Lonchura striata: one gene and its partners. The protein of the gene in region 2 interacts with the protein of the main gene of each other region in a biochemical or structural test. Links are inferred from orthologs where the notes say so. Each region holds a gene or a part of one and is shown on either strand. Other genes may lie near its edges.

The links.
Region 1: the proteins of UBE2D3 (region 2) and RNF168 form a complex in vitro, tested with the Homo sapiens proteins (5 studies listed by BioGRID). The link is inferred for Lonchura striata from reciprocal best matches to the Homo sapiens genes UBE2D3 and RNF168.
Region 3: the proteins of UBE2D3 (region 2) and TRIM63 form a complex in vitro, tested with the Homo sapiens proteins (5 studies listed by BioGRID). The link is inferred for Lonchura striata from reciprocal best matches to the Homo sapiens genes UBE2D3 and TRIM63.
Region 4: the proteins of UBE2D3 (region 2) and SMURF2 form a complex in vitro, tested with the Homo sapiens proteins (12 studies listed by BioGRID). The link is inferred for Lonchura striata from reciprocal best matches to the Homo sapiens genes UBE2D3 and SMURF2.

What each region holds. Positions count from the first base shown.
Region 1 is NC_134612.1:5,260,406-5,268,273, forward strand, and holds the start of RNF168 (E3 ubiquitin-protein ligase RNF168), read right to left. Parts: upstream 3,019-7,868; 5' UTR 2,704-3,018; intron 1-2,703. Other genes in the region: WDR53 (WD repeat-containing protein 53), read right to left, coding at 4,471-5,058, 7,543-7,868. UniProt on the Homo sapiens protein: E3 ubiquitin-protein ligase required for accumulation of repair proteins to sites of DNA damage. Acts with UBE2N/UBC13 to amplify the RNF8-dependent histone ubiquitination.
Region 2 is NC_134606.1:48,603,103-48,610,964, forward strand, and holds the start of UBE2D3 (ubiquitin-conjugating enzyme E2 D3), read left to right. Parts: upstream 1-4,861; 5' UTR 4,862-5,259; coding exon 5,260-5,283; intron 5,284-7,862. UniProt on the Homo sapiens protein: Accepts ubiquitin from the E1 complex and catalyzes its covalent attachment to other proteins. In vitro catalyzes 'Lys-11'-, as well as 'Lys-48'-linked polyubiquitination.
Region 3 is NC_134628.1:397,308-404,436, forward strand, and holds the start of TRIM63 (E3 ubiquitin-protein ligase TRIM63), read left to right. Parts: upstream 1-4,127; 5' UTR 4,128-4,146; coding exon 4,147-4,305; intron 4,306-4,393; coding exon 4,394-4,560; intron 4,561-5,626; coding exon 5,627-5,795; intron 5,796-6,055; coding exon 6,056-6,151; intron 6,152-6,625; coding exon 6,626-6,859; intron 6,860-6,979; coding exon 6,980-7,002; intron 7,003-7,129. UniProt on the Homo sapiens protein: E3 ubiquitin ligase. Mediates the ubiquitination and subsequent proteasomal degradation of CKM, GMEB1 and HIBADH.
Region 4 is NC_134621.1:8,494,034-8,501,240, forward strand, and holds the start of SMURF2 (E3 ubiquitin-protein ligase SMURF2), read right to left. Parts: upstream 3,017-7,207; 5' UTR 2,827-3,016; coding exon 2,775-2,826; intron 1-2,774. UniProt on the Homo sapiens protein: E3 ubiquitin-protein ligase which accepts ubiquitin from an E2 ubiquitin-conjugating enzyme in the form of a thioester and then directly transfers the ubiquitin to targeted substrates.

The DNA of each region.
Region 1 (7,868 bases), on a different chromosome or scaffold from region 2:
CCTCTGCAGCCTGGTGGAGCTCATCTTACTGTGGCAGGACTCCTCTTGCTTCAGCAAGAATTTTGGGATGAAAATTGAACTTTTAATTGGAAACTAAGCTGGTGTCATGTAGAAATGTAGGGAGTTCAGAAAAACCCGAAGGATTGATGTGTCATAATTGGATCGAATCTGTCAGCACTGAGAGAGGAAGTGCAGAAACTGAGGTGAGGTGAGTTGGGCTTTGCTGTGAATGACTTCCAGAGCTGGTTTGTCAGATAATGAGTGTTCTTGCCGGTGAATTGTTGGTTTGCAGCTTTTTGTCAAGGTAAATAAGCTTCCACACGGCCCATTCTCCAACTTCCTCCTCTACAAGTAGGAGTAAAGTTATCTAAGATCTCATCACTAATGCTACTCTCAGTGCAGCAGTGGTTTCTCAGCAGGCTTCAGTCCAATGCTTTACTATTTGACCAGTTTTATCTCTCAAACATTTTTTACTGCCTTTCTGTAAATTAATCTTCTGTGTTTTCAAGCACCTGCAATAAACATTTAAGCATTTGCCAATTTTGGATCTAAAAATGTCTGTTCAGTTATACCATGGTAGATCCATAACTGATCTCCCACAGCTGTAACTGAATTCTGATAGACTGAGTGCTGCTGCCTCTTGATCTAAGTTTGGAATGAAAAGAGGAAGAATGGATTAAACCTCCCATTTTCATTTCCATCATGACCTCTGAACACTTTTTCCTTTAGTGTAAGTGAAGTTACCACTAAGTCAGCGACCTCTAACTCTGACTAGTGTACAGACAAACCACATCCCCATTCTTTACCAGAAAGCTTTTAAAATTCCTCTCTTGTTAGCACACAGAACATATTTGGAAGCCATACAGTAGAAGCTCCAGCATTCCCACTTCTCTGGAAGTGTGGTTCTTTGTGAGACCTTATTTCTGCTATTCAGGCATTTACAGAAAATGATATTTTAGAGCTGTCACATGGGTTTGATTTTCCAGGCCAGTGCAGCATCCCACACTTCTCCAAGCCTTCCCCATTCACTCACTCCATGGTACATTAGACACACACTTCTTCAAGTAGATTCCCACAGAATTAATTTTCACTTTTTTCTTTTAGGAGTTGTTTCACTGTTTCTCCTTCTGGTCCGGTCTCCAATAGCTACTTTTGTGTTCACCATCATGTGAATCAGAGTTATAAAGGCTGTGGATGAACTAACAGTTAGGAGCAGTACCTCGACAAGAGCAGTTTCTTTCCAAGTCTGTCAGCTGTCTGTCTGTCAACACATAATCACTCATTTCCTAAGCAGAAGTACTGCATCCCATCAGCTGTGATACTCTCAACAGGGATCCTTTTCACTGCAGGTAAACCACAGGTGTATGTATGACACCTGATTTGACTTTTAAAAGTCTCAACACTGCATAGTTTGCCTTTAAATGTAAAATATCCTAGAATCCCAGAATGGTTGAGTGGAAGGACCTTAAAGCCCAACTCATTCCACCCCCTGCCATGGGCAGGGACACCTTCCACTATCCCAGGTTGCTCCAAACCCCATCCAACCTGGCCTTGGGCATTTCCAGGGATCCAGGGAAGCTACAGCTTCTCTGGGCAGCCTGTGCCAGGGCCTCACCTCCCTTTCAGGAACGTGAAAATCCAGAGTGTGGGGACAGTATCCTTCCTACCTCTAACTGCTGAGAATTTCTGACCCTTTTTTGACTGTTTTTCCTGAAGATCCATGCTCGTATCTTTGTATCTGCCCTGAGCCACCACCACTGGTGCCTGCTGCTGCACAGCCGAGCAGGAACTGGTGCCAGCGGGGGCAGCTGAGGCCAGATTATTTTTCAGGAAGTCTATGAACCTGTTGGTCACATTCCTCTGCCAAGTGCAGGCTTTGGAAATGGAGGGTGAATCAGCATCACCTATGACCTGATTCCCCAGTGATGGTGATTTGCTTTCCTAAAACTTTTAAGAAAGGTCCATTCTTGGGGTTCTTTTTTGCTCATGATAACCACTCTCCAGACTCTGAGGCATGATCTGAAAATCAGAAGTTCACCTGAAATCTCTAATTAGAACAGCAAGCCTGAATTTCACAGAACCACAGAATATCCTGAGTTGGATTCACAAGGATCCAACTCCTGGCCCTGCACTCCTGTACCCCCCAGCAATCCCACCCTGTGAGAGCATTGTCTGAATGCTTCTTAAGCTCTGGGAGCTTTGGTGCTGTGACATTCCCTGAGAAGCCTCTTCAGTGCCTGACCACCCTCTGGGAGAAGAATGTTTTTCTAATATCCAACAAAAACCTCCCCTTATGCAACTTAAGGCCATTCCCTCAGGTCCTGTCACTGGGCACCACAGAGATCAGTGTCTGTCCCTCCTTCCCCCTCATGAAGAAGTTGTAAACCTCAACGAGGTCTCCCCTCAGTGTCCTCCATGCTGAACAGACCAAGTACCCTCATTGCCTGGTGACAATTCATGCAGCTGCAGGCCAGGGATGATGGAGCAACTGCCCAAATCCTGCACCAAACTGCCAGGATGGCAGGGAGGGAATAACACCACCGTGGAGCTGATGGCTCGGTCCCTCTTTCCTCCCGCTGTCCGTTCACAGCCAGTTGCCCACAGCAGTTTCCAGAGAAGCACAGGTTAGCCTGGTGTCCCGTGTTAGCTGTCCCATGCCCCAGCCCTCCGTGCCCTCCCTGTCCCTCCCCAGCCCTGCAGGACCTGTTCAGCGTCTCGTTCAGGGAGCGCAGGGAGATGCTGGCTTTCGCCATCTTCCTGGAGAACACCAAGAGAAGAAATAAAAGCTGGAGCGGGCTCGCTCCTCTCTCCTGTAGCCGGCAGCAACAGCAGGGACAGGGGATCCGAGTCCTGCAGGAGGTTGTTTGTTCCAAGGCTTTTTATAGCCTGTATATCCAAATATAGGTCATGGATGCACCAACACACGTTCATGGATGTGTCACACACTGAACCACACAGCCCGACCCGACCCCTTCCTCTGCCCCACTGATCCCATGTCTTCACACATGAACTCATGCACAGGTAACACAAAAAGGAACAAGTACAATTTTATGCCTTTTTTTTTTTTTATTGCTGTGTTTTGGCTTTGATTTGCTGATGCGCCCACCAGATCATGTCTTGGGCCAAAGTCTCCTGCTGGGAAAGGCTGTACAAGCAGATTGCCTTTGTTTTTTGTTTTAATTAAAAAGGTACAAAGGTAAAATCTGATTTGGATGAGAATGAGTTGTGTTTGGTTGCAGGGAGCTGCTTTGAGCAAAACCAAGACAGTTGGAATCTCTTCCATAAAGGGTGAACAGAGGCAGCACAACCAGATAATGATTTTCCAGAGTTTTGTATGTAAAAAAATAGAACTGGAAATTTTTCCAATATAGTATGAGTCTGGTAACAGCCCAGTTGGTAAACACAGCAGCACAAACCCAAACCTACCACCAGTGCAGCATGTCCTCAGCCAGTACTAGGAATTCAGTTCTGTGACAGGATAAGGACAGCCCAGGAAAAAAAACCCTTTTAAAAGAGTTATTTGCTCACTTCATGGGAAATTGAGCATGAACTGAACATGTCTGGAGATGTAACATTTCCACTTAGGTTTTCCTACCTTCAATTTGCAAATGAAGCTTCTAGCAAGCCAAGTTCTACTCATTGTGTTTCAAAGCTTTAGGAAGACAGGAACTATTTGGGTAAGGAGAAGCTGTGCCTCTGGCCCTTCATATTCACCCTGCTATCGGGGTAAATAAACTTTTTGACACAATTTTGTGTGAGTCTGGCACTATTAGAGTGATTCTAAGGACAAGGGAACAGTGAGAGAGAAAGCATTTATTAAGCCAAGTGTAATAGTTCTTTTCCCTGGGATACACAACTAACTGACAGCTGACCCAGCAAACAGGTGTAACAGTTCCCCTGCTCCTTCTTTTGCTGCAGTGAAAAAACTCAGTTGGCAACCACAGGGAAACTCATTTGATTACTCATTAATTGATGCATCTAGTCTATGCAGCTGCTGACAGAGTGATGAAAACCAGATCCCACCATGACCAGTTCAAGCCAACTGGGACACAGCTTCATGGGAGAACTCGCACAGAGCACTGCAACAGCCCAAACCACATAGGGCTGAGCCAATGACAGCCCTGCTACTGTTCAGCAGCCTCACTTAGCATTGTGGGTGTCTCCTGAGCACTAATTTTCTCCTCCAGCCTTAATTACGTCAGCTTAGCCATGAACTAATGTTACCCCTAAATATAGAGACCCGTTTCACTTAAATCCAAGCAGCAAAATTCCAACCCTGCAAGAGAGAGTAGCTGTGAACATAACAGCCACAAGGAACCAGCACGAGGCCAGGGACATCATGAGTGCACAGCAAATCCCTTTCCCTTCCCAAGGACCCAGAGGGGTTCACTGTCCAGTTCACTGTCAGTGGAAGTAACTGGCTCTGAGAAGTGGTTTTATCCCCCAGACTTCTGTAAGCCCCTGGCTGCCTTAAGGTTCTGGCAATGGATAGGCTGATACTGAGCTGGTCTGGTCAGCAACCAACACTCTCCTGGAGCCCTTGAGCTCTGCAAACAAGAGCCAGTTCACCTTCTCTCCGTGTTCAATGCTGAGCTTTGGCACAACTCCAGGGTGTTCATTTGAGGCTGCTTTGTTGAGCTTCCCATCTTTCCTGCTGGAAGCAGCTGCTTGGGCCTTCCTCCTGTGCAGAGATTTTGCTGGACTTTTTTGCTGCTTCCCAATATTACTGCTGACATCCCAGAGCAAGACTTTCCCATCGTTTCCTCCAGACAACAACTGGTATGCCTCAGGCATAAAGAGCACCTGTGAGACTCCCAAGCTGTGAGCCTGGAACTCCAGCTCCCGTTCAAACCTGGCACCTGTGACTCGGAATATTCGGACTTTACCGTCCTGAGCTCCACAGCCGAAGACGTTGCCGCAAGAGGCGACGGACAGGGAATGCGCGAGCGGCGGGTTGAAGAACTGCCCGGCTGACTGCAGGCTCTCCTCCTCCATGTCACACTCCTGCAGGTTTGTGGTCCACAAGGGACGAACTTTCTGCAGGTTCCACAGCATCACCTGGAAAAAATACCAATAGGATAAAGAAATTATTTGTGTGTTTTACTTCAAATCGGATCTTTAACGGTAAAATAAGCAACCACACTTCTCCTAGCAGAGCAAAGGTTGTGTGTGACTCCAAGAACTGTAAGGCGTGTGGTTAAACTTGCCCTAATAAATGTAGCAAATCTTTCTGGCCTGCTTTCCAAAGCCCCACCACCACACTCTGCAGTCAATGACTCACACCTTTAGACCATGGAAGAGATGCTAACACTGCTCTAAAAGCTTTTGCATTTATTCCAGCAGTAGCAATCATGATGTACTGCACATCAATTATTGAGAAGGAGGGACACGGAAACCCTAGCAGTGAATAGAGATCATTATCATTCTGGATTTCTGTCTCTGCTACTTGGCCTGTAATAGTCACTGCCATGAATGTGTCTTAAAAATGGGACAGCAAAAGGCAAAAACAGCAGTTAAGGCTGTGGTCTTTAAACAGGCATATTTGTATTTATTTTTATATCCAGTGAGTAGATCTGGTTTGTGCTATGGAGTAGGGCATGCTTAACCTACTGAGATGGGGCAGGTTGTGCTTTTAGACTTCCTTTTCCAATGCCACCCCACCTCCAAGCCCCCAGTGAAGAATCCCACGTCTCTTGTACAGCAGTTCAAGCACTACATATTTATACTGAGCCAATTAAAAATAATGCTCTCAAGACTTTTGTAGGATCTGAATTGACAATGAGAATTCTCAAGGCCAACAGATTGAAAAGCCCAAGTCATTCTAATGCAGCACTGGTGTACTGTTTGCTTCATAAAGCTAAGCTTCAATTTGTTATTAATAAAAATATTCCTTTAGTAGTAATCACCAATAAGAAGTACCAGAGCCTTTAAATTTAGTTCACAAAAAAGCCTGGCTCTGCATTTCCGGAATCCAAATCACACTAAAACATCTGAAATATATTTCCTGTCACTTTCCTGTTTCAGTTACTGCTGTTGCTGCTGCACTAAAACTACTTCCACAACTGTGATTTGCTCTAAATCAGAGGAGCTGGGTGATGCTTACAGAAAATACTCCTGTTTTCATCACAAACAGCACGGCAACAACCTGATGAATCCATCAACTGCTGAAGAGTTTTCTGCAAACTAAGTATTTTCTGTCCTCATGGCACTTTCTCTGCTTTATTGGAACTCCTGAAAGAACTCCAGCAACCTCAATTTCAATTTTCATCAGACATGACTTCCCCGAGGGTTTGACAAGCCCAGAATATGTTTTGTAGCGCTCATAACTTGTCCAAAGACATGGTGCAGCACAGGACTTCAGAGTTCTGCAGCTAAGCTCCCCTTTGGGAAATGATGTATCTTAAATGCAGAATGCAGAATGCAGAATGCAGAATGATGGTCTTTTCACTGTACAAAAGCACACTAATTAAATCCTGTTTTGGGATACTGACTTTCACCTAAAAAAACAACTTGCTGAGCTACAATCAATGAACCTAATACTAAAAAGTCACAAAAAATAATCAGCTCCCTTGTACCTCCTTGTACATAAACGTTTACAATTCTGATAAAAAGTTTCCAGCCACAAGCTTGTGTATCTGCATTTTAGGGACCAGAATTAAGCCAGCTGAGGGACTGAGAGTTTACTCCTCTGAAACAGGATCGATCATCATGGCTTTAACACAGAAAAATAGTTTATACTAAATATCAGCATGTACTTGCTCTAATGGGTTGTGAGATGTACTTTGGTTTCAAGAACACAGGCTGAAACTGCTCAAACCTGTCACACAGACTTCACCCTGACACCGCTGGAACCACAGAAACCTTTGAGAAGTGACAGTTTTCATACTGGGCTAAACCAGGAATGTGGTCAGACCTCAACTACTGGAAAGAAATTACTGAAAAATATCTGTTCTGGGCTTAACTCCCAGCATGGGTCTCAGAATGCAAGGGGCAAAGTTTCCTCTTGATGAGGATAGAAAAATTTAAAAGGCAAAGAACATTTCATGCTCCCAAGATGCTAACAGAACAACGGATAAATTATACAAATCACTTGTTCTCACAGTGATATGTTCCACTTGGAAAGATGCTGCTCTACCTGCCTGCCTCAAACACTGTGCCTTTTCCTCACCATCATTTGCATCTTATCTGCAGCCACAACTGATCCCTAATGGCAGCTACTGGTTTTGCTCAGTCCAACAAAGAGCAAATACAGCACAAGTGAGCTTTGCAGTGTATTCTGATTTCCCCTCACCCCACTCACTTTTGAATTATAAATGTTAAAGAAGATAAAAACAGGGCCAGAAGCTGCTGAGTGGAACATAGCACAAGCAGTCCCAACACTTAAGTTTTGGGCCAAAATACTTCAGAATAGCGAGGGAGCTTTCCGGTGACTGCAGGCTGAGAACACCTTCGTGCTCAGTGAAAGTCTGCGGCTGCTTCACTACATAGGTGGGTAATTACTGTTTCACTTCATTAATAGCCGTACACATGTATGCAAATCACCTGCATGTCCAGTCCACAGGAAACCAGGCTTTGAGGCCGCTGAGGTCGGAAGGCAACAGACGAGCAGATGTTGGAGTGCCTCAAGGACCGGCTGACTTTCTTGCTTTCCAAGTCCACAACCTTTATGGCCCCCGAGTCATCCGCCGCAGCCAGGAAGCTGTCGGCGTCGTTCACCGAGAGGCAGTTGATCTCCTCCTCGTTCACCTGGAAGCGCTGCAGGGGCTCCTGCAGGGAGCGGACATCCAGCACGCTGATGGTTTCTCCGTGGGACGTGTACAGCGTGCTGGGCCGGCGGGCGGAGAACACCAGCGAGGTCACGTCCTCCG
Region 2 (7,862 bases):
CAAAAAATTTCAGTTTTCAAATTTGGCATCATAATTGCACCACGCACATGCTCATCTGACTTTCATGCTTTAATATCCATAGAGCTGAATCAGCACAGAAAATGAACATTCTTGTTGACAAAAACTGCTAGTGACTTGACAGGGATATATTTTTCATCTAGATCAAATAGTAGTTTTGCTGAGGAAAAAGAAGGAGGTACACTCTATATGCATACTAATAAATAACCTGTAGTGGTTTTCAGAGATTCTGTTGCTTAGGTCTGTGAAAAAAGCATAAAGAATTTTATGTTGTCAGGATTATTCTTGTAAAATAGCTCTTATTTTCTGGAAGGATTTCAAGAGAAGAGAAAAATCTTTAACTGAAAGAAAACTATGTTGTTTCTATGAAGATAAAAAAGTGCCAAACAATGACATGCTATACAAAATCCTGAAGACCAGAAGATTTTGTGGGGGACTTCAGTCTATTTATCTTGGTGTAAGTTACTGAAGTGTTCTATGCTCTTGTGAATCCCACATGACTGTGCAATGAAAACTTAGCATATCATTATTCAACAAAGCACTCCAGGTTTTCACTGGGAATCATATGTAGTACTAAACTCAAGGCTTTCCAACTCCCTACACAAAGCTGCAACAACTTAAAATGGATTGATGCAGGGACTCGGCATTTTGCTCCGTGACTTAGAACTGAGATTAAAAGCACTTCTAATTCAAAGGAAATGTGGATTAGCTTGGGAATTGTTTAAGTGAAAATGTCAGAGAAGCTGTTGAAGAAATAATGGGAGATGAAGAATTGGCCAAGTTGGAATATGAAGAAAGTTACCTTTTATCTAGTATTTCTTAAAAACTAACTGCTGCCTAACACACTGACCTTGGCTTCACTCCAGATGTGAAAGGGGGTTGCCTACCTATTCTTCCTAACAGGAGACATAATGGTCACAGATGCATCAGCAAGGAAACACAGCACTGCTAAGGCTGTAACTGTGACCTAGTCATCCTCACTGAAGAGGAGAAGCCCACAGCTACACAGAAGGGCCTGATGATCTTTGGAATTTGAAACAGATAAAGTGGAACCCAATGGCATCCCCAAACCTGTTTTTTTCCACTGTCTTCTAATGGCACTTGGCAAATTCAGCATTTTTTGTTGTTGTTGTTGTTGTTGTTCTGTTAAAAAAAAAAAGGCCAATGGAACAATCTTGTTTTGTCCACTTTCTCCTGTGATCTTATTCTTTCTGGTATCCACTGAATCAAAAGGGTCCTCAATAAGGTGAGTTTTGCTCAGATTAAAGAAGGATTTGTCTGCAAGCTTGATTTACAATAATTAAAGGAAAAACAAGTTGGACAGGATGCTGAAAATTGAGGCCTGGTAATACATGCAAACAGGGAGAAGCTGAAGCTGTTGTTGTTCATCTTAGTGCTTTGTTTTCCAGCAGCATAAGCTGAAGTGCTCCAAACAGGAACTAATAGTAATCTATTGGATGGATTAGATGGATATCTTGCTTTTGTTGAAGTTTTTTTTTTTTCTCTCCTAAAATGGAAAATATTTTTGGAAAACATTTCCATCTTGTTTCCCCCTTTCCTCTCAGATATATGAAGCATCTTGTATGGAATGCTGCTTGGTGTCCACGATGTTTGGTTGCTCCACCTGTCTTGAAGGCAGGTAGAATAGCATGCTCCAAATATAAAACTGGTTGGTCTCGGGCAAGCAGAACTGAAAAACCAGCACTGATGTACAAGTAACCTCTGTAAACCTTTAAACTAAAAGGCTGGGCTGCTTTTCACTCAAATCCCCAAGGGGCACTGCTGTAACAGGCAAACAAGGCAACCTCCATTCTTGGCTGGACCATCCATTCCTATGTTGGACCATCAGGAAGTAGCTGAAATGGACTGGTGAATCCAGCCTTTGGAGGCTGTTGATCACTTGGTCACACATGGCTCTGGAACACCATATTTGAAAAAACAAAATTTAAAGACAGGTTCAAGACAGCTGGTCTGCTCTCAGTATTTTTGTGCAAACTGTTTATTACCAGGCCACATCTACTGAGGTATTTTGCATAATAAACCTCTAAAAGTCTAACCTGACTCCACTGCTGTGGAGGATTAGACATGGTAATACTTCTCTACAGCCACTTCTGAGGATTAGCTTCAAAAATCAAATTAAAATGAAGCAAACACAAATAGTTCCACAATAAGTTGCAACACCCTTATTCAGTAACCATCATCTGCACCTCTTGCGTTTTATATTACCATATGAGGAATCTATGCAAAAGAATATACATACTGTGTGTGGTAAAGCTGAAAAACTCTGCATGGGCAGATCAACATATTAAGATTTTGAGGCCTTGTTTGCCCACACATTCCTAGTGAAGTAAAAAAACTATTTGGTTTTATTTATTTCCAAATACTGAGGAGAAAATACATGATTTTTACCTCACAATTTGAGGAAAAGGAGGTGAGAGTGGAAAGCATAATGTTCTCCAAGCAGAACTGTGTGCTTGTGACTTGCAGAACAGGTCACAGAACTGTGACTGCATGTCTTGTTTTTCATTCCGACACAAGCCATAATTTTTTTTTTCTCAAAGGTCAGTATTTAAATGTGCAGATTTGTTTTTTAAAAATGACCAGCAAGTGCAATGAAGTGTTTGCCTAAACAAGTATACTAAACTAAAATTTGCAAATCTGTTTCTGAGCAATGGCTATAAACAAGACCTATCCAGTAAATTTGAAATTCTCTTTGGGGTCAAATGCTAATAGACATTGAATTTAACACGTAAGAAAACTTGATTTACCAGATTAACAATTCCAGTTGTCTTAAATTAGCAGGGGAAATTACACACTGCCAACAGTATGTTTATGCTGTTCTTAATTTCTTTCATTATACAGAAAACGTGAATCACAAGTCTGATCAAAAATGTTAATATAAAGTCATATTAGAGGTCATTAATCTCAAATAATAATTACAAAATGTAAAACTGGAATACTGCCAAGTATCTAAATCTCCTGAGATGACAAACCATAATGAAGCTCAGAAAGTTTGTGAGCAATTTACAAGGCAGAGCATCATGTCTGTGGTGCAAAGATAGACACGCTGGTGATTTGGAGCCGTTTAATAGCATCCGTAATCCAAAACTGGAACAGCAAGGTGTTCTTCAGCAATATTCTTGACTAAGATGATAAGAATGAAAATCAAATCATTTGTAATTACACTTACTGAACATGCTGTTCAGTACAATTAAAAGAATAAGCAAAAAATGAAGACTACATAAGGAAGCTGCTAGGATTGGTTTAGCAGATCATAGCAAGATAACTGGACTTTAGAAGTACAAGGTATTGTTTACTCTTTTGCTTGCAAATATCAGTTTTAAAAAACAATGGCAGTTCTACAACTGTGCTATTTTTAATAATAATAAAAAACCTCCACTGCTCTCCTAATTCACTGCTGCCTGTTGTCAAGCTTCATACTGAAAATGTTGTTACACAGTAAGCTTTTCTGAATATACTGCCTTCTCCAGACCAATAATAATTAGTATCCTAGACAGCAAGACAACTAACACTATGGCACTAAAACGAACACAAATGGAGCCCAGTGCCATTATGTGGACATCCCCCTGGACGTCAAATGTCATGTTTGTCACTTATACATTCCATCCTTACAGAAGAAGGGCAGTCAGGCAATCTTGCTCTTGTTTCACGGAAATGGAGTAGGAGTCCTTCCCCTTGTAGAGAACAATGTATAAACCTGCACCATTTATTACGGTGCAAAAAAAAACCCACGTGGCTGAGAGTGATCTGTTGGCACATGCTGCACAAAATAAAAAGCCTCCAAGGAGCTGAAGTGCTACAGAGGGTACTATTGTATATAAAACAATTGTATCTCATCCTCTAGAACTACCTAAAAGATTGTCATGAGCTGCGGGTCAGTCTCTTCTAGACTGCCTGCTGTGAGGGGACTAGAGGAAATGCATTAAGGTGAGACAGGGTAGTTTCAAATTAGGTATTAATTTTTCTCAATGTTTAGGTGGTAAAGCATTGGAACAGGTTGTCCGGGAAGGTGGTAGAGTCACCATTCCTAGAGATGCTTAAGAGGTGTCTGTTAACTGGCACTGAGTGGTAAGGTTTAGGGGGTAATGCCACGTGATGGTTGGGCTTTATGATTTTAAAGGTCACTTCCAATTTTGATGATTATATGAATATATGATGCATCTGGCCCTTGGACTGACAATCCACGTCACCATTATCTTCCCTTTGGTGATGTTTTGTCCCCTGTACTGAGACACTTGGTTGGACGTCCTCGTGTATGCCGATACGCCACTAAAAGGAAGCGTCCAGGCCCCTTACCCCCACACCAGGCCTCCGCTCTTCCGGGGCAAGAGCAGAGCTTCAGCTTCGTCACTCGCACCGCAGCGAACGCTGCAAACCCCATGGCTCGGGGGCTCCCTCCCTGCTCCGTGCCCCGGCGCTGCCGGCCGGCCGTGCCTGTGGGAGCGGCTCCTTCCCGGGCCGGGCGGGCGGTGACCCCTCCGCGGCGCCGGCCGGCGGCTGACGCGCGGAGGAACACCGCGCCGCCGCGTCAGCGGGCGCACCTAGATCCGGCCGCTGCCGCCATTTCGCGGGGAGGCGGCCGGGGCGGACCCGCCGCTAGCGGTGCGCGCCCGCCACCGAGCCCCGCGCCCGCCGAGCTCCGGAGCCGCCGCGACCCCGGCAGCCGCGGGCAGGAAGAGGCGCACAGCGCTCCCGAGGCGGCGGCGCCCACGGGCAGCCCCAGAACCTTCCTTCCCCTGCCCCGCCCGTTCGCCCTTGGGCCCGCCCTCGGCCCCGCCCCCCGGAGCCGTTGGCGGCGGCGTGCCGGGCCCGGCCCCGCCTCCCTCCCTCCCGCGGCGTCCGGGCCTGGCCAGCGGCGGCAGCGCGGGGCTCTCCTGCCCTTCCTCTCTCGCTCTTCCCTGGGCGGGTGACGCCTCTCGGCTCTCCCCGCACTTCGCACCCTCTCCCGGCCGTGACGGGAGGCGGCGGGCGGAGCGCTCCCCCGGCAGCCTCACGGCCCCGCTGCCCGCAGGCAGGCAGGACTTGGGCGGCCGGCCGGTCGGGCGCCCCCCCGGCTGTTTCCGGAGGAAGGAGAAGAGCAGCTGCCCCCTCCCCCCTCTCCGCCTTCCTCCCGGTTCTCCTCCTCCTCCTCCTTCTCCTCCTCCTCCCTCCTCCCGGCCCCCCGAGCGGAGCGCGGAGTCACCGCGGCGCGTAGACGGGCCCGGCACTCGCACACACACAATGGCGCTGAAACGCATCAACAAGGTGAGTGAGCACCGCGGCTCCTCCTCCTCCGCCGTCCCCCCCCTTCACCGCTTCGCCCTTCTTTTTATTGTTATTTTTGGGGTGTTTTATCTTCTCCTTCTCCCATCGCTTTCCTCCCCCTCTCGCCCCTGGAGTCTCGGGCGGGGGGGGGTGGAGGGGAGAGGCGGAGGCTGAAGAGGCCGGGCAGCGGCGGCTCCTTCCGGCGGGGCCGCGGCCCGGCTGGGGCTGCGGGGCCGCTCTCTCCGGGCCCGAGCTCGGCCCCGGCCCCTTCCTGAGGGCGGGGGCCGGGGAGGTCGGAGAGAGGCAGCTCCCGGGGCCGCTCGGATGTCAGCGCAGCCCGGGGTCGCTGCCGGTGCCCTTAGGCCGAAGCCGGCCCGGATGGCGGCAGCCCGTGTGTGCCGAGAGGTTTGGGTGCGATGGAGGCGCTGCCCGGGCAGCAGCTGGGCCCCTCGGCCGGGTTCTCCCCTCTAGTGTGCAACTTCTCTCCCGCATTGTAAGATGGCGGCGGGTCCGCCTGGCCCGGGCGCTTTCCGGGATCCCTCGCGTTCCGCAATAACGCGGAACTGACACACGGAGCAGCCACCGCGGCGCTGCCCTCGCCCTGCAGCCGCCCCTCTCTGCCGCCCCGGGGCTCTCCGGGCACCCGGGAATCCATCGCCTGTCCGGGAATCGCTTCTCCCCGCGACCGGCCGGGAGCGCGCTGCGCGCCGCCGCCTCCCCCCGTTGCACAATCGGAGCCGGGTGGAGCAACTTCGCGGCGGCTAACTCGGAAAAAATGCCGAGGTGATGAAAGTTTGGTTTTCTTTTTTGTGTGTGGGGGGGGTTGTTTTTTAAGATACCTCTCCCAGGGCTAGAAAGCTCCCGGCGTGAAGTTGCCCCTAAGTGGGTTTAGGTTTTGTCGGCAGGTTTGAGAATTGCTGGGATGTAATGGCAAAATGCGATGGGTGCGCAGCGGCGGAACCGGGAAGTCGCTGTTGGTCTGTGCTCCTTCTTACGCGAGCTACGTGGAGCAGTTACGTGTTTCAAGAGCTCAGAGGAGTTTCTTGGTCATCTCATAGCCTGCCAAGATGGCAGAACGTCAGTGTGTCCTGAAATCGGTGAATTTCAGTGTACAAAACGCCTTTTGTAGACAGTGTGTAAACTTCATGCCGCCTCTTGGTCTCGCTTTAATTTCACACAGTGCTTGTGGTCGTATTTTAGACAAAACAAGCGTTTTTTATAACGTTTTTAGTGAATGGATAGTACTGTTACCCTCGAAAATTTTAAATCCCTTCTGTGTAGATAGCTGAATGGATTGTCTTTGAATTATGGCTGTGCTCTGGCAAGGATTTCAAAACAATTCCTTTAGAATCTGCCATCAAAACTTGTTCCCTGTGTTAGTGGATGATAGCACTTGAGTTGAAACACAGCTAGGATACTCCCTGGTATGCTTTGTCATCAGCTCATGCTTATGAAACACGTTCAGGCACTGCAGGTAGGAATTTATTGTCAAATGTAAACCAAGACAAACCCCCACTTATGTAGTAATCTGGTGGTCAGAACCTGGAAACGATTCAGCGTGACTCTTGAGCCAGTAAGTCATCTCTGACTATAGCGTTTTGGCCTGTTGTGTACACTTTTGTATTGGTCCTTAATCTCCATTGCGCTGTGTAGTAGCAAGGTTCTTCCTTTATCCAGTGCAAGAGTTTACGGTTGGGAACATAGCTGAGCTAGGGTTTTTTAGGGCAAGAGTTTAGGATTGGGAAGATAGTTAGCTCTGTTAGTTTTTAATTTTTGCCTCCTTTTTTTGTATGTGTTTGTTTGGGGTTTTTATCAGTTTAATCACACCACATTACAAGATAGACTTCTAAATTCACGTGGAGTTTGTAGTTCTGATTTTTGTATTTGCAAACCTGGAAGATGACCTTAATTTGTGGAATGAAGCCAATCTTTGCATGTTGCTTTCTTCCTCTATTGGTTTCCAGTATAAATGTTTACAGAGGCTGCTGCTGACATAAAAAAAAAAACAGTAGGGCCAGTTCTATAACAAAATGGTTGTGAATGTAATTTTAATCCTGTCAACCAGTAAAATCCAGAGAGAGCGGTGTTGTCACTGATAAACTAGGATTCCCTGTCTTCCAATTGTAAGATCACAGATCAAACCTTGGAATTCTCTGCTTCCTTGTAGTATGTCTTTATCAGTAGATGAGAACAGGCTAAAGATAAACCAGGACCTCAGAACATTGTAATCACCATAGCTGATTTAGTTTGTGCTATTACTTGTCAGAACTAGAATTCATTGTCTCCTGCAGCAGATGACATCCTGAATGTACCAGTGAAGATATTTTCAGTCAGTTTGGTTGACTCCCTCTTTGTGGACTTGACATATCAAGCAAAATAACATTTTTCATTATATTGAGTAAACTAGACTTGAGACTCTGTTAGAGTGTGTGTGTGTGTATCTTTAATTTGAAGTCTGTTACACATTCAGAATGCAACCACTCGTAAGACATAACTGGCAAATTCTACTTCTGATTTGAAAATGAATGTAAATTAGTATTTATGTATTGGGTTGTCTACTTCTGGAACACCCTGTATAA
Region 3 (7,129 bases), on a different chromosome or scaffold from region 2:
AAAATAAGAGCTTGACTAGCCAAGGATCACTGGTCAAACAGAATGAAACGCAAAACCAAAAGTAAATAAATAAATAAAATCACACTGATAGAGCAGAACTACAATAGCTCTAAGACAGCCAGTGATAAAGGTAATTCTCTTTATGTCAGGCAATAAGGACCACATGTTATTAGTAGGAAGATTTCAAGTATTTCCACTGCTTTAGGTAATTTTTTTTTTTAGAAAAAAAAGGAAAAAAAAGAAAAAGAGAGAGAAAAAAGGTATCATCAGTCTCAGGTAATGCTACAGAGATATTTTAACCTTTCAGCAAAGCTGTGCGAGGGACATTTGCAGCAAGGATTTGAACCAAGCTGTGCCGTGTGTGAGAACAGGGGTGCAGCTCCACATTAGGGCTGGGACTGAGATGCAATGGGCCAACAAGGGCAGGAGCTTTAATTTAATCTCAATTTCCCAGTGGCCAAACAGCCCCGGGGGAACGCGGCTGCCCCGGGGGCGGCCGGGCGGACACCGGGCCCAGGCAGCGAATAACGAATAATATAAACACTCGATTAGAGAATAACACAAACATAAAGGTACCGCAGGTGATATATATACACCCCTCCTGCTCGGCGCGGCCGCACCTGCGGCCCTGAAGGGAAAGCGCCGCCTCAGAGCGGGCGATGCTGCCGGCCCGCCGCTGTGGGCATGGCCCCACTCCCCCCGCCCGACCTGCAGCCGGATCCCACCCGCTACAAGCACCACCACAAAGGGAAAGGGGAGGCGGTGGGGCCGAGCCGAGCCGAGGCGAGCAGGGCCGAACCGGGCCGGGAGAAGCCGCGTTACCTCAGCGCCGCCGCCGCCGCCGCCCGGCCGCCATCTTAGGGCTGCGCTCCGCCCGCCGCCCTCAGCGCGGCCACGCCCCCGCGCGGCCACGCCCACACAGCACCGCGCCCGCTCATTGGCCACGCCTCGCCGTGACCACGCCCATGTAATACCACGCCCGCTCATTGGCCACGCCCCGCCATGACCACGCCCATGCAATACCACGCCCGCTCATTGGTCGCGCCCCACAGTGACCACGCCCACATAATATCACGCCCATTCCTCGGCCACGCCCACTCCCCGGCCATGACGCGAGCGCCGTGGGCGCTTAATGAGATTAATTAATTAATTAATCAATCAATGAATGACTTAAATTTCTGTTCGTTAATTAGGAATGAATTCCTGGCTGTGAAGGCGGACAGGCCCTGGCACAGCGTGCCCAGAGCAGCCTGGGACAGTGGGAGGTGTCCCCGCGGTGGCAATGAGATAAAGTAAAAATTTAACAAGAAAGAAATCTGGATTTAAGTAAAATGTGTTTTTTAGTCTAGTAACTACAGCACTAGCAAAACTACCTTAACTAAAAAAAAAAAAAATACAGATTTCCACACTAAAAAGATAAGAGACAAGAAAAACTCCTCAAACCTTAAAACAAACAAAACAGAGTGACCCAAGAATTCTTTCTGACAAAAACTAAATACAAGTGTAACTAACTGTAAGTATAACGCAAAATAAATAAAATAAATATACATAAACCTATTATAAGATTCTATGCATATAGAAGTTAGAGTAATAAAAAAAGATCAGGAGTTCTCAGGGGTGCACATGTCCATTAAAGAACAATGAGTCCCCACATGCATCCACAACACTGTGAATAAACACACCGTTCCCCACAAATCTTTATTATAATTGTGGGGTTTTAATCTTTCTCCGCGTTTCAGCATTGGATGGGACTTAAGCTCCTTCCAAAACAAACAATTCTGGGACTCTACAATTTATTGCTTGGCGTCCAGAAAAAAATGAGTAAAGCGCCCCTGTGGCCCTTGGGCGTGCCCTGGCTTGGTGTGACAGTGGCACAAGAGCTGTCGCCCCTCGCTGTTCCCTGTTCTGTGCCGTGGGTCCCTTTCCCCCTCAGGCTGCAGGGCTGGAAGTGCCCCCCATGCCCCGGGGCTGGGGGCGCAGGGCTCCCCCACCGTGGCAAAGCCACCACAGGGACATTTTGGGAGAAGCCAGGGCCACCGACTGCTCAGAGCCCTGCGAAGCCCCGGCAGAGGGAGATTCCTCCCTCAGTGGGCTCTCCGGGGTTAATTGGGAAGGATCCCGGGGGTGATTAGTGCCCGGCTCCTGCCTAAGCTGTCCCAAGCCAATTAGGGGCCAACGAGCCTCTTGTGGGTTCGGAAAGCTGCTTAGGGCATTACAGCCCCTCCGCTCCTGGGAGTCCCCTTCAGCGAGTCCAGCAGCGATTCATGAACCAATGCCATCAGGATAGGGTGCGACCCCCGCGCTGCCCTCCCGGGTGCCCACCAGCCCCGCCGTGCTGCCGGCGCCTCGCTGGCACAGCCCCGAGCGCCGCCCCGGGAACGATCCTGCCCCGTGTGCCCCGCGGCTCCCGGCGCGGCCACCCGCTCCACGCGTGAGCCGGGGCGGAGGGAGCCCAAAACACCCGCGTGGGGAGAGGAGGGGGTCCGTGCCCCCGGCACCGTGTGCTGTGCACCGCGTGTGACACATCCAGGGAGCTGGGCACCCATTTATTCATGTACCTGGTCATCCATTTATACATGTACCTGGGCATCCATTTATCCATGTGCCTCTTCATCCATTTATCCATGTACCTGTGCATCCATTTATCCATGTACCTGTGCATCCATTTATTAATATACCTGTGCATCCATTTATCCATGTACCTGTGCATCCACTTATCCATGTACCTGGTCACCCATTTGTACATGTACCTGGTCATCCATTTATCCATGTACCTGGGTACCCATTTATCCATGTACCTGTGCATCCATTTATCCATGTACCTGGGTACCCATTTATCGATGTACCTGTGCACCCATTTATCCATGTACCTGTGCATCCATTTATCCATGTACCTGGTCACCCATTTATCCATGTACCTGTGCATCCATTTATACATGTACCTGGTCACCCATTTATCCATGTACCTGTGCATCCATTTATACATGTACCTGGTCATCCATTTATACATGTACCTGGTCATCCATTTATACATGTACCTGTGCATCCATTTATCCATGTACCTGGGCATCCATTTATTAATATACCTGTGCATCCATTTATCCATGTACCTGTGCATCCACTTATCCATGTACCTGTGCATCCATTTATCCATGTACCTGTGCATCCACTTATCCATGTACCTGTGCATCCCTGCTCACCTGTGTGCTCACAGACACCTGCACCCCATACCTGCGCACCCAGGTGTCCCCCCACACCCCGTACCCGTGCACCCAGGTGCCCCCTGCACCCCATACCTGTGCAGGTACCCCCTGTACCCCGTACCTGTGCACCCAGGTGCCCCCCCACCCCGGTACCATCTCCTGCCCGCAGTCGCTGTGGGCACCGCCGCTGCCACCCCGTCCCCCCGTGGTGACCCCTGTGCCAGCCGCGCTGGCAGCTCTCCCCGCGGCCAGCGCTGGCCCCTGGCCAGCCCGGCGGGGATCGTGGCCGGGGCTGCTTCCAGCCAGGGCTGTGCTCACCCTCTGCCCCCCCAGCCGTTTCTGGGTCAGCGCTTGAACCCCAGCAGCGGAGCCAGCTGGGTCATGGCTGTGCCAGGGCCGTGCCAGGGCCGTGCCAGGGCAGCCTGAGCAGCCCCCTCTGGGTCTGGGCTCCCGGAGGAGCCCCCCAGCCCGTGCCTGGGGAGGGCACACCCCGCTGCGTGTGCCAGCCATGGGGGCTGCGTCCCTCCAGCGCACGGGGGGAGGCGTTTGCCCCCCAGATTTGCTCCTGTTTTGGGTGGGGAAAGGGACAAACTGTACGAGCCAGCCCTGCTGCGGATTTCTGGAACCGTCGCAATGTCCTCATGACCGCGGGGCTGGCGCTTGCTGCTCCGGGGTCTCGGGACGCGCAGCCGCTTGTTTACCCCGCGGCTCCCGCTCGGGCACGTCCGCGGCACGGGTGGGCAGCGCCTCCTGGACAGCCTGTGCCCATCTTGTTTACCGGCCCTTGCGGTGGCTCAGCACCGTGTGACAGCTGCTGTCCCCTGTCCCGGGACACCCGACACCGAGCCGCGACCGGCAAACGCGTGACGAGGCGGCGGCTTATAAATAGCGGGGCGAGGGGCGCCGGCGGCGAGAGCGCCGGGAGCAGAGCCCTGAGGAGCCCATGGATTTCCAAGGCGGTATCCTGCAGGATGGCAGCCCCATGGAGAGCCTGGAGAAGCAGCTCATCTGCCCCATCTGCCTGGAGATGTTCAGCAAGCCCGTGGTCATCCTGCCCTGCCAGCACAACCTGTGCCGCAAGTGCGCCAACGACGTCTTCCAGGTGAGCGGGGCCCCCGCGCCCGGCCCGGGGGGCACCGGGGTGTTGTGGGGGTACTGATGGACCCCCCGGGCTCATCTTCCCCTCCCAGGCTGCCAACCCGTACTGGCAGAGCCGCGGCAGTCTGATTTCGGGGGGCCGGTTCCGGTGCCCCTCGTGCCGCCACGAGGTGCTGCTGGACCGCCACGGCGTCTACGGGCTGCAGAGGAACCTGCTGGTGGAGAACATCATCGACATCTACAAGCAGGAGTGCTCCAGGTGGGCAGCGCGGCCATGGGCTTACGGGGACGTGGGGACACGGGGATGCCCCAGCCGTGCCCCGGCAGCAGCGCTGAGACCCCCAGAGATCGCACCTGGGGGTCTTCCTGCTCAGCCATCCCCGGTTCAGAGCTTTTCCTGACTCAAATCGCCATCAAAACCTCCCTCCCGTGACTCAAAACTTCCTCCTGCACCCAAAACTTCCTCCCCCAGCCCCATTCTCCCCTCTGCCCCAGCAGTTTGTGCCTCTGGCTGTCCCAGGGGGGTGGCAGGTCCCTGGGGGTGGTGCCAGCCGGGCACGTCCTCTGCCCCTCTTGCTGGAACATTGGCTGGCAGATAAGAGGTGTGGGGAAGGAATCCGGGCTCTGCTGCTGACAGCGGGCACCGGGGCTGATAAGGGGCAGAGGGACGGTTTGGGGGGGGCCCAGTGGGTACAAGGATGAAGCTGGGGGGGACAGAGGGGTCACGGGCTCTCGAGGCAGAGCGGTGGCCCCAGCCAGGTTCCCTGAACCGCTGTAAATATTGTGTGAGAGCCATGGGGACGGGGACGATGGCACGTGGCAGGTGTCCGTGGCTGCTGGGGGGGCCGGGGGGCCAGGCCTGTCCCTGTTTCAGGCTGCTGGCTTGTCCCCACGTCCCTCCCTGCTGTGGATGGGAGGACTGAGCTGCAGCCCCCGTCTGGGACCCCCGGCGGTTTCTGGGTGTCCCCACCCCGGTCACACGATGGGTGACAATAAATCCGGGCAGCACAGGGCTAAAATTAGGCCCTGGTGCAGCTCCTCTGGCTCGCAGCCCCCCCCGTCCCCGGTGCCACCCGCTGCCATGCCCAGCGCCACGGTGGCCTAAACTGGGACCTGCTGGGGTTTGCAGAGGTTGGTGGCTCCCAGAGGAGCAGCTGTGGGGTTGTGCCAGGGTCTGGCGTCTCTCCGATTTCGGGGTGACAGGTGGATGTGTCACCACGGTGGGGGTGATGCTGCAGTGGGGACACCGGGGTGGCGGGGGCCATCAGCCTGGTGCGGGTGTCACCGCGACGGCGATGTCACCGCGGCCGTGCCACCCTCTCCAGCAGGCCGCTGAAGAAGGGGGAGCACCCCATGTGCAAGGAGCACGAGGACGAGCGGATCAACATCTACTGCGTCACCTGCGAGGTCCCCACCTGCTCCATGTGCAAAGTCTTCGGTGCCCACAAGGACTGCGAGGTGGCCCCTCTGCAAAGCGTCTTCCAGGGACAGAAGGTGCCCTGGGGGGGGACCCGGGGGGGCTGCGGGCCATCTGCTGAGCTGGGACAGTGACAAATAACTCCGGGACTGCCTCACGGGGTATTAATAGCCCCCGGGTGACTTCGCCCAGGAGACAGACTATATTTAGAGTGGCTGCTGAGGGATGAGGGGGAGCAGGGCTGGGGACGAGCAATGGCCAGCCCGTCCCCAGGCTGGGATGGGAGAAGTTCCTGCCTCCACAGGAGTTAGAACTCCTTCTCTCTGTCGCTCACCAGACTGAGCTGAACAACTGCATCTCCATGCTGGTGGCGGGGAACGACCGGATCCAGACCATCATCTCCCAGCTGGAGGACTCCTGCCAGAGCACCGAGGTGAGGAAAGGGGGAGAGGCGTCGCTGTCGAGGCAGGACGGGAATGAGAAGACTGATCAGAAGGCTGCTGAGAGTAAAACTCGGATTTATTCAAAATACCCCGCTCTTTTATACAGAGCTTCGCAAGGATCAAATCCATTGGTTCTGAAGTGAAAACAAGCCACGCTATTGGTGTACAGTGCTTGACGCACAGTGATAGAACTTATCTATAAACAATGTGAAAAACAAGAGAGATAAAGAATTATTTACATTCTTTCCCAGCTCTTTCCCAGGCTTCTGCCTGGCTAGAAACTCTCAGTGTCTTTCTTTGACTGAATCTGAGACCCACAGAAAGGAGCCCCCCAAAACCTGACAGTGAAACCTCAGCCGGGCATGGGCGGCAGTGGGGTGGAGCCCGTGGAGCAGGGAAGCCCTGGGGTGTTGCAGGCGCTGGGGGGACGCAGAGGTGGCATCCCTTGTCCCCTGTCCCCGCAGGAGAACAGCGAGGCGGCCAAGCGGGAGCTCTGCGCTCGCTTCGACGCGCTGGCAGCGCTGCTGCAGGAGAAGAAGGCGGAGCTGCTGCAGCGCATCTCCCAGGAGCAGGCGGACAAGACCGCCTTCATCCAGAGCCTCATCTGCCAGTACAAGGAGCAGCTGGAGAAGTCCAGCCGGCTGGTGGAGACCGCCATCCAGGCAGCCGAGGAGACCGGGGGGGCCGCCTTCCTCATGGTGAGACCCCCAAACCTGCCCCGTGGCGTCCCACTGCTGGGGACGACCTGGTGGTTGCTGCTGCTTCACTCACCTCCTCCTCCTCCTCCTTCTTCTCCTCCCCCTTCTCTCCCTCCACAGAACGCCAAGCAGCTGATAAAAACGTAAGTGCTCAAACTGGGGGAATCTCCACGCTCCAGCCCCCACGGGCAGGATTTGGGGAGTGGGCGCTGCCCTGCCCCGCTGCCCCACGGTCCCCGCGGGGGGACAGGGACACGCACACACCGCTGC
Region 4 (7,207 bases), on a different chromosome or scaffold from region 2:
TACAAGCTGTTAAGATAAATTTCGCAGAAAACTAGTGCAATTCTGGAATTTAGCTAATTTAAATTATACTGCCTATATTTTAATCAAAAACAAGGATTTACACCTCCTGCTAGAAGTATCATCAGAAGCCATGACACCTGGATTTTAAAAATTATTTGCAACAAACAGCCAAACCTTTGCTAAAGAATAAACTTTTTAAATAAATATATAACACAGATACACTGTAAACTAAATAAAAACTTACTAGAAGTATGCCACCGCTGTGGTTTTTCTCTGTTGTGGAACCCAGACCTAAATAAACTGTTAAACACTTAGTGTAAAGGTATGCCAAACATTTCTCAGAACTTTCTTAAGGTCTCAACAAAGAGTCAACCTTTTTTGCAAAATGAGGCCTAGGTTAAATATTTTATTTGGCTCCTCAAGATGGACTGAGAAGTTGGGCACTAGCTCCAGATCAGTTCTTGGACTCACATCAAACATTACCCTGTCATTTATCCAGTCAGTCAAAACAATGTTTTCCATCTAAACCTTTAATGTTTATGTCCTGAAAAACTGCTAATTGAATCCAGTTCTTGAAATCTATTTTTTAATCTATACCATTTAATTTAGAGATACTGAACAGAAAAGATAAGCGTTGAACAATGATTGCAGAATTAATCCCATAAACATTCAAGCCAAAACAGAAGACTGCTAGTTTCATAGAGCCAAAGAAAATTAAGATTAAATAGCATTTGTCAGTTTGAGAATAAACTTTTAGAAACACTGGATATACAGATTCTTTTAATTCCAAACAGTTTTAGAACTCAAGAGCCCCCAAACTGCTTTTCCAATCAAAAAGAATAATCAAAACCACACAGAACACTTACAACTATTCCTAGGCAAGAACTGACAACATGTCAGCTGAATTAATAAAATTCATTGTTTTCCTTAAACATGTAAAGCTTCCTTACAACAAATGACCTTAGGTGAAACAACTCCCCATTAGCTAAAGCAGAAAATACCTCAAGCTGTTCAGCTGGAGACACAGGCCAATGTTTCCTATAAGCTTCCAATAATGGAACTGGTACTCAGTGCCTGCCAGAGCTGCTAGCCCTGGAACAGTCCTAAAAAGACACTTTTGCCTTCATCCCATACTCTGCACTTTCCCTTCCCAAAATACAAGATGCCCAAAAAACACAAAAACATTCCTTAGGGTTGTACCTGCTGCATTTGGGGGCTGACCACAGTGCGTAAAACCACAGCGTGCTTCTGGTCACAATCACACTCCCCTCACCACACTGAGATTGTCACAGGCACAGTTTCATTATATGCTTATTCCTCAATAAAAATAAAATATGAAATGAATTTGAACACAAAACACAGAGGTGAGAAAGACAAGTCCCTAGACAGTATTTTCCATTATTTTAAATAAGGTTACAGACCATTTTTTATGTTTCAAAGATAAGCAAGTCTGAGCACTCACTGCTCAGGGAAAGAAAGTATTAAAGCACTGCATCAATACAGCAATAACCTGAGGAGAAAGCTACAAAACACTCAGTAAAAACAAGGCAGCACTGTTCCATGCAGCAGTCCCAGCTACGCTCATTTTAGGAGTTTTATTTCCAAGTGTAATATAGAGACACTCACGAATCTCCATGAAAACTAGATAACAAATCTAGTCCAAGTTATTCCAAAGTAAAACAGAAGCAGATACATTTTACTTTTTCTGTGAAAATAACATACTTGGAAAGATCAGTATGAAAACACCTCTCTTTATTAGGTATTAAACTGGAGATATTTCTCACACACCTTAAGTAAATATAACAACTCTTCTAATATTTAAAAAAATATTTCTTTTGCAAGCTGCTTAGAAACACTATATAAAGGTGGATATTTACAGTGAAAAGCTATACTCTTCTAATTGCTTACCTTTGTGTACTGATGCTTCAGGACACACAGTGTCATTTATGTGCTGGAGGACTTAACAATACTTTGAAGAAAAGAGCTAGATTCAAGTGTCCTGAATTTTTTTAAAGAAAGCTCAAGCAGAATTTCCAGTATTTTTTTTCCTCTAAACCTGTTTACGTGGGGTTTTATATGGAAAAGGGCATAATTTTAAGTATTTAAGACCAGATTCTTTTCCTTCCCAGCATGCAGGTGAACCGTTTTTATGGTATTTTAAAATATCAGAGGTCAAGTGGTCTGGAGTAGGGCAGGACAAGGCAGTTCACCCAAGAACTGTGAACAATCACAGAATATGCTGAGTTGGAAGGGACCCACCAGGATGATCGAGCCCAGCTCCTGGCCCTGCACAGGACACCCCAAAATCCCTCCCTGTCCCTGAGAATGTTGACCAAAGGCTCCCTGAGCTCTGCCAGCCTTGGGGCTCTGAGCACTGCCCTGGGAGCCTCTCCAGTGCCCAACAGCCTTAGCCGAGGAAATCGCTTAAAAACCCCAACAAAACAACAACAATAAACAAACAACGAGATCGAAACAAAAAGCGTGGCAGTTTCTTTCGAGTTTACACCGAGAAGACGAAGGGAAAATACACTGCAAGGCTGGGGCGCGGTGGCTGAAGTTCCCCCAGGCGGCTGCGGGGCCCGGGCCGGGCGGGCGGCGGAGCCCGGACACGCCGAGCCCGGGGCCGAGGGGAACGGACGGCAGGGAAACCTCGCCCTCCCCTTCCCTGCGAGGCCCGAGGGGCCGCTCCGGCCCCAGGCTCAGCCCCAACGACACCCGGAGGAGCCGCTGCCGCCCCCCGCCCGGGCTGGCCCGCGGCCCCGGCCCAGCCTCACCTGTCAGCCGCAGCTTGACGGGCCCGTTCCGCCGGGCCCCCGGGTTGGACATGGCCCCGGCCGCGGCACCCCGCCGCCGCTCCGCAAGGGCTCGGGGGAGGCGCGAATGGAGCCGGGCCGGGCGCTCAGGGCAGCGGCGGCCGCCGAAGGAGGAGGAGAAGGAGAGGCCCGGATGTGCCCAGCGTCGCCATGAGCGGGGCCGGGGCCGCGGAGGAGGAGCGGAGCCTTCCCCGCTTCCCTCCGCTTCCCTCCGCTTCCCCGCCCCCGGGCCCGAGCACAACAAAGCCGGGACGGAGCCGCACGGACGGGCGGGCTGGCGGCGAGCTCGGCTCCTCTGCTCTCCCTCCGTCCCTCCCTCCTGCCCCGGGGAGGCCCTGCCCGCCCCCCGCGCCCCGCCTCGGGTCAGCCTCGGGGGAACGGCGGCAGGTGGCGGCGGCGGCCGGGCGCTGCTGGCCGGGAGGCCGGCGGGATGGCCTGTCCCGGGAGAGCGGGGCTCGGCAAGGATGGGGGAATGGCCGTGTCCCGGGAGAGCGGGATGGACCTGTCCCGGGAGAGCGGGATGGACCTGTCCCGGGAGAGCGGGGAATGGCCGTGTCCCGGGAGAGCGGGATGGACCTGTCCCGGGAGAGCGGGATGGCCGTGTCCCGGGAGAGCGGGGGATGGACCTGTCCCGGGAGAGCGGGATGGACCTGTCCCGGGAGAGCGGGATGGACCTGTCCCGGGAGAGCGGGATGGCCGTGTCCCGGGAGAGCGGGGGATGGACCTGTCCCGGGAGAGCGGGGGATGGACCTGTCCCGGGAGAGCGGGATGGACCTGTCCTGGGAGAGCGGGATGGCCGTGTCCCGGGAGAGCGGGGGATGGACCTGTCCCGGGAGAGCGGGATGGCCTGTCCCGGGAGAGCGGGATGGACCTGTCCCGGGAGAGCGGGGGATGGACCTGTCCCGGGAGAGCGGGGGATGGACCTGTCCCGGGAGAGCGGGGGATGGACCTGTCCCGGGAGAGCGGGGGATGGACCTGTCCCGGGAGAGCGGGATGGACCTGTCCCGGGAGAGCGGGGGATGGACCTGTCCCGGGAGAGCGGGGGATGGACCTGTCCCGGGAGAGCGGGATGGACCTGTCCCGGGAGAGCGGGATGGCCGTGTCCCGGGAGAGCGGGATGGACCTGTCCCGGGAGAGCGGGGGATGGACCTGTCCCGGGAGAGCGGGGCTCGGGAAGGATGGGGGGATGGCCGTGTCCTGGGAGGGCTGGAAATGGGGAAGGATGTGGGGAATGGCTGTGCCTGAGGGGAAGTAGGGGACTGGGAAGGATGTGGACAGTGGCCATGGCCTGGGAGAGCTGGGGATCGGGAAGAATGTGGGTGAATAGCCAAGGTGGGGAGGAGAGGGTGGCAGAGAAGCTGTGTAGGGAGTTGGGACAGGAAAACCGAGGGTACAAATGGGAAAAGACATGGCAGGAGAATTCAGAGGCAGGCTGAAATGGGTGGTCCCACGCAGGAGTGCTGCCGATCCATGACAATATTCCTCATGGACAGGGTGTGACAGACCAGCCCTGGAAACTGTTAAACTTTGGACCAATTTGGTTCTTATCTGCACTGTGTAGAAATCAGCAGTTGAGCTCTGTGAACTGCCATGTGCAGAATAATAATATTTTTTTTTTTTTAAAGCCTTGCATCCATGCCGTGTTGCCTAATTTAACTCCCACCCTGTGGGAAAGGTGACCCTTTCCAGAGTTTTCCCAGCTCTGCAACACACTTCCCATGAGGAGACCTCCATCAGAGTAATAGGCAGCTTTCTGCAGGGCCAGAGGGGCCTCAAGGGTGAGACAAGCTCCCAGGAAAGCTATGAACGTTACCACAGTCTAGATTACTTTAGAAGTTTAAGCTAATACATCACACACCTACTCTTACTAACAACCTTACTAAGACTCTACTCGTTTGGTCATGTCACTGCTCTGGCTTCTTCCTGCTGAGGTAACCTGTGAAGTATTATCATGTGGGTAGTCAGAGGTGAGGATCCAGCTATGGATCCCCAGCATTGGATGAGAAGATGACCTGTGCTTCACTGAGTTCATCCTGTGGCTCCTACACAGCCCAGGAGGTTTTCTCTGCAGTCGCTTGGAGCTGAGCTGTAACCATGTCTTGAATGGTCCCATCCTGACAGAGCTCAGAGTCTGAGCCTCGTTAATTCAAACCTGGGGTGTGCGACTGATTTTTTTTTTCCACTGAAGGCCTTGAAGTGCAATGTGGTTCTTAAAGCTTTCCATCCATAAAAAGTGACCTCTCCTATGCTGTACGTGGGGATTGACTTCCTATTCCTCCCAAAGTGTCTGAAGTGCAAGGTGGAGATTTCCAGTGCTTCCTGCAGTGGTGGCACTGCTGTTCCAGTGTCACTTCAGCAGGGAACAGAGGAATCCTGGGGTCCCTTCTTTGGCCAGGGCTGTGCCTGTCCCCTGTGCCATCAGCTGTTTAACACAAAACTAGCAAATGTTAGACACCAACCTCTTTCACAGCACAGGCAGAGCACAAGATAAAGCATAAAACATCTTTCCAGTGCTTTGCCACTGGTTAAAAAGAAGAGAATTTGAAACAATTAAAGTCTAAGCAGCATTTACTACAAAACATGGACAATACACCTATGGATTTTATGACTTTACATTGCACTGAAACAGTTAAGAAGTTATTTTGTAATGGTTATGTAAATTCATGCACACCCCAAAGACATTCCAGGTGTCCTGATTCTTGCATTAAAAAAAAAAAAAAGAGGAAGAAAATTAAACATTTATAATTGAAGGTCATACTATTAAATTTTCAGTCTGTTACAAATTCACATACTCTTTTCTCAAACCAAGTATATAATGCAACTGGCTGTTTGGATCACAACTACACTGCCTCTTTTGTTGAGCTTGTAATGAGGAATCATTGATGGTTTGCAAATATTGCAACATTAACTGGCCACTGCTAAACTGAACAGGAAAAAAAAAAAAAAAAAACAAAACTACTTTTCACATACTTAACATATTTCTAAATTTTTCCTAACATGATGATTATTCATTTCTGGGGTCTTGCAGTGCACTTTGGACCTAACATTCAATAATTCTGATATAATTTGACAAAAGTGCCTAATGTTATATTAAATACAGAATTCTTTCTACATGATCTTTTTCTAATGGATAACTAGTATGTCAGACATTAATTGAAATGCCAATATTTAAAAAACCCTTTGGGATTAAATATACTTTCATTGTTCAGTAGTTATATGAACATTTAAATTCTTTCATTAAAAGTGTTTTTTAAAGGTCATGAAGCATACTTGGTTTCAAACTGCTTTTCAGAAAGGAACTTGCTGAACTATAAATTTTTCTAAGGTTTTTGGACACACTGCTCACCTTTCAGTGAAAGCATTGTGATATATTGCAAGTGTTAGAGCATTAACTGACACTGCATTTGGGTCAGCATATAAAATGTACAGTCTGCAGGATGGCTGCTACTGCTGTACACTTTTCTTTAATATGTGCCATATTTGATTTTATTTACTTAATTTTTAAACAACCAACATGACTTGAGCACTTTTATAAATACATGCCAAGTGCATCACATGGGACAGTCCTGTATAGTAGGTGTGTATTCAGCAGGGGGAGAAGAAGGGCTCCAGCTCCCATCAGCCTGGCAGGGCTGGGTCCCAGTTGGGTCTTGTCCCTAAGGTGGGGAGAACACCCTGGACCAGGCTGCCCTCGGACACACAGAGGCACCAGATGCCAACTGCTGCACCCTCCTTTCTCAGGGCTGTGCCTTGGCTGTCCCACAGCTGTTTGTGTCCTGTCCTATCTCCCAGTTCTGTTGGGAAATGAGGATTTTCACTCGCTGTTCCCTTCACTGTGTAGAACTGCCAGGAAGGATTTAAACCGAGTATGTTCAAGAGGAACCAGTGCAAGATCTGCAGGCAGATGAAGGGAAGCCAGGCAGAGCACCAGGAACTGCGGTGGTGTAGGGGAGCAAAGATGCTGGCAGTCCCTGGTGGTAGAAAGTGCTGCTTTCCCAACCAAGAAATCCCACTGGAATGTTATGATCCAGAGGTTCCTGAGCCAGTACCATCCCCCAAATTCTCAAAATATTCTCAGATTAACAGAACCGATCTCTCACTGATCCTCCTTTCGCTTTCAGAAGCCAAGATTTTGCAGGAAATTGTATCTTTATACAGTTCCATTTCAGAGGTTTCACTCTGTGCAGGGCTGATCCTGTGAGAGAGACAAGCAAGTATCATCAGCGCTGCTGACAAGAGCCCCATGCTCCAGTGCAGGCTGGTATCACTGAACAACACATCCTTTCAAGATGAGACAGCTCGCTGGGATCCACATCACCCTGCAGATCATTTTGGATGACAGCCTTGCTGCTGGATTTGGGAATCCAATCCAGCCTTCTTCAGCCAGAGCTTCA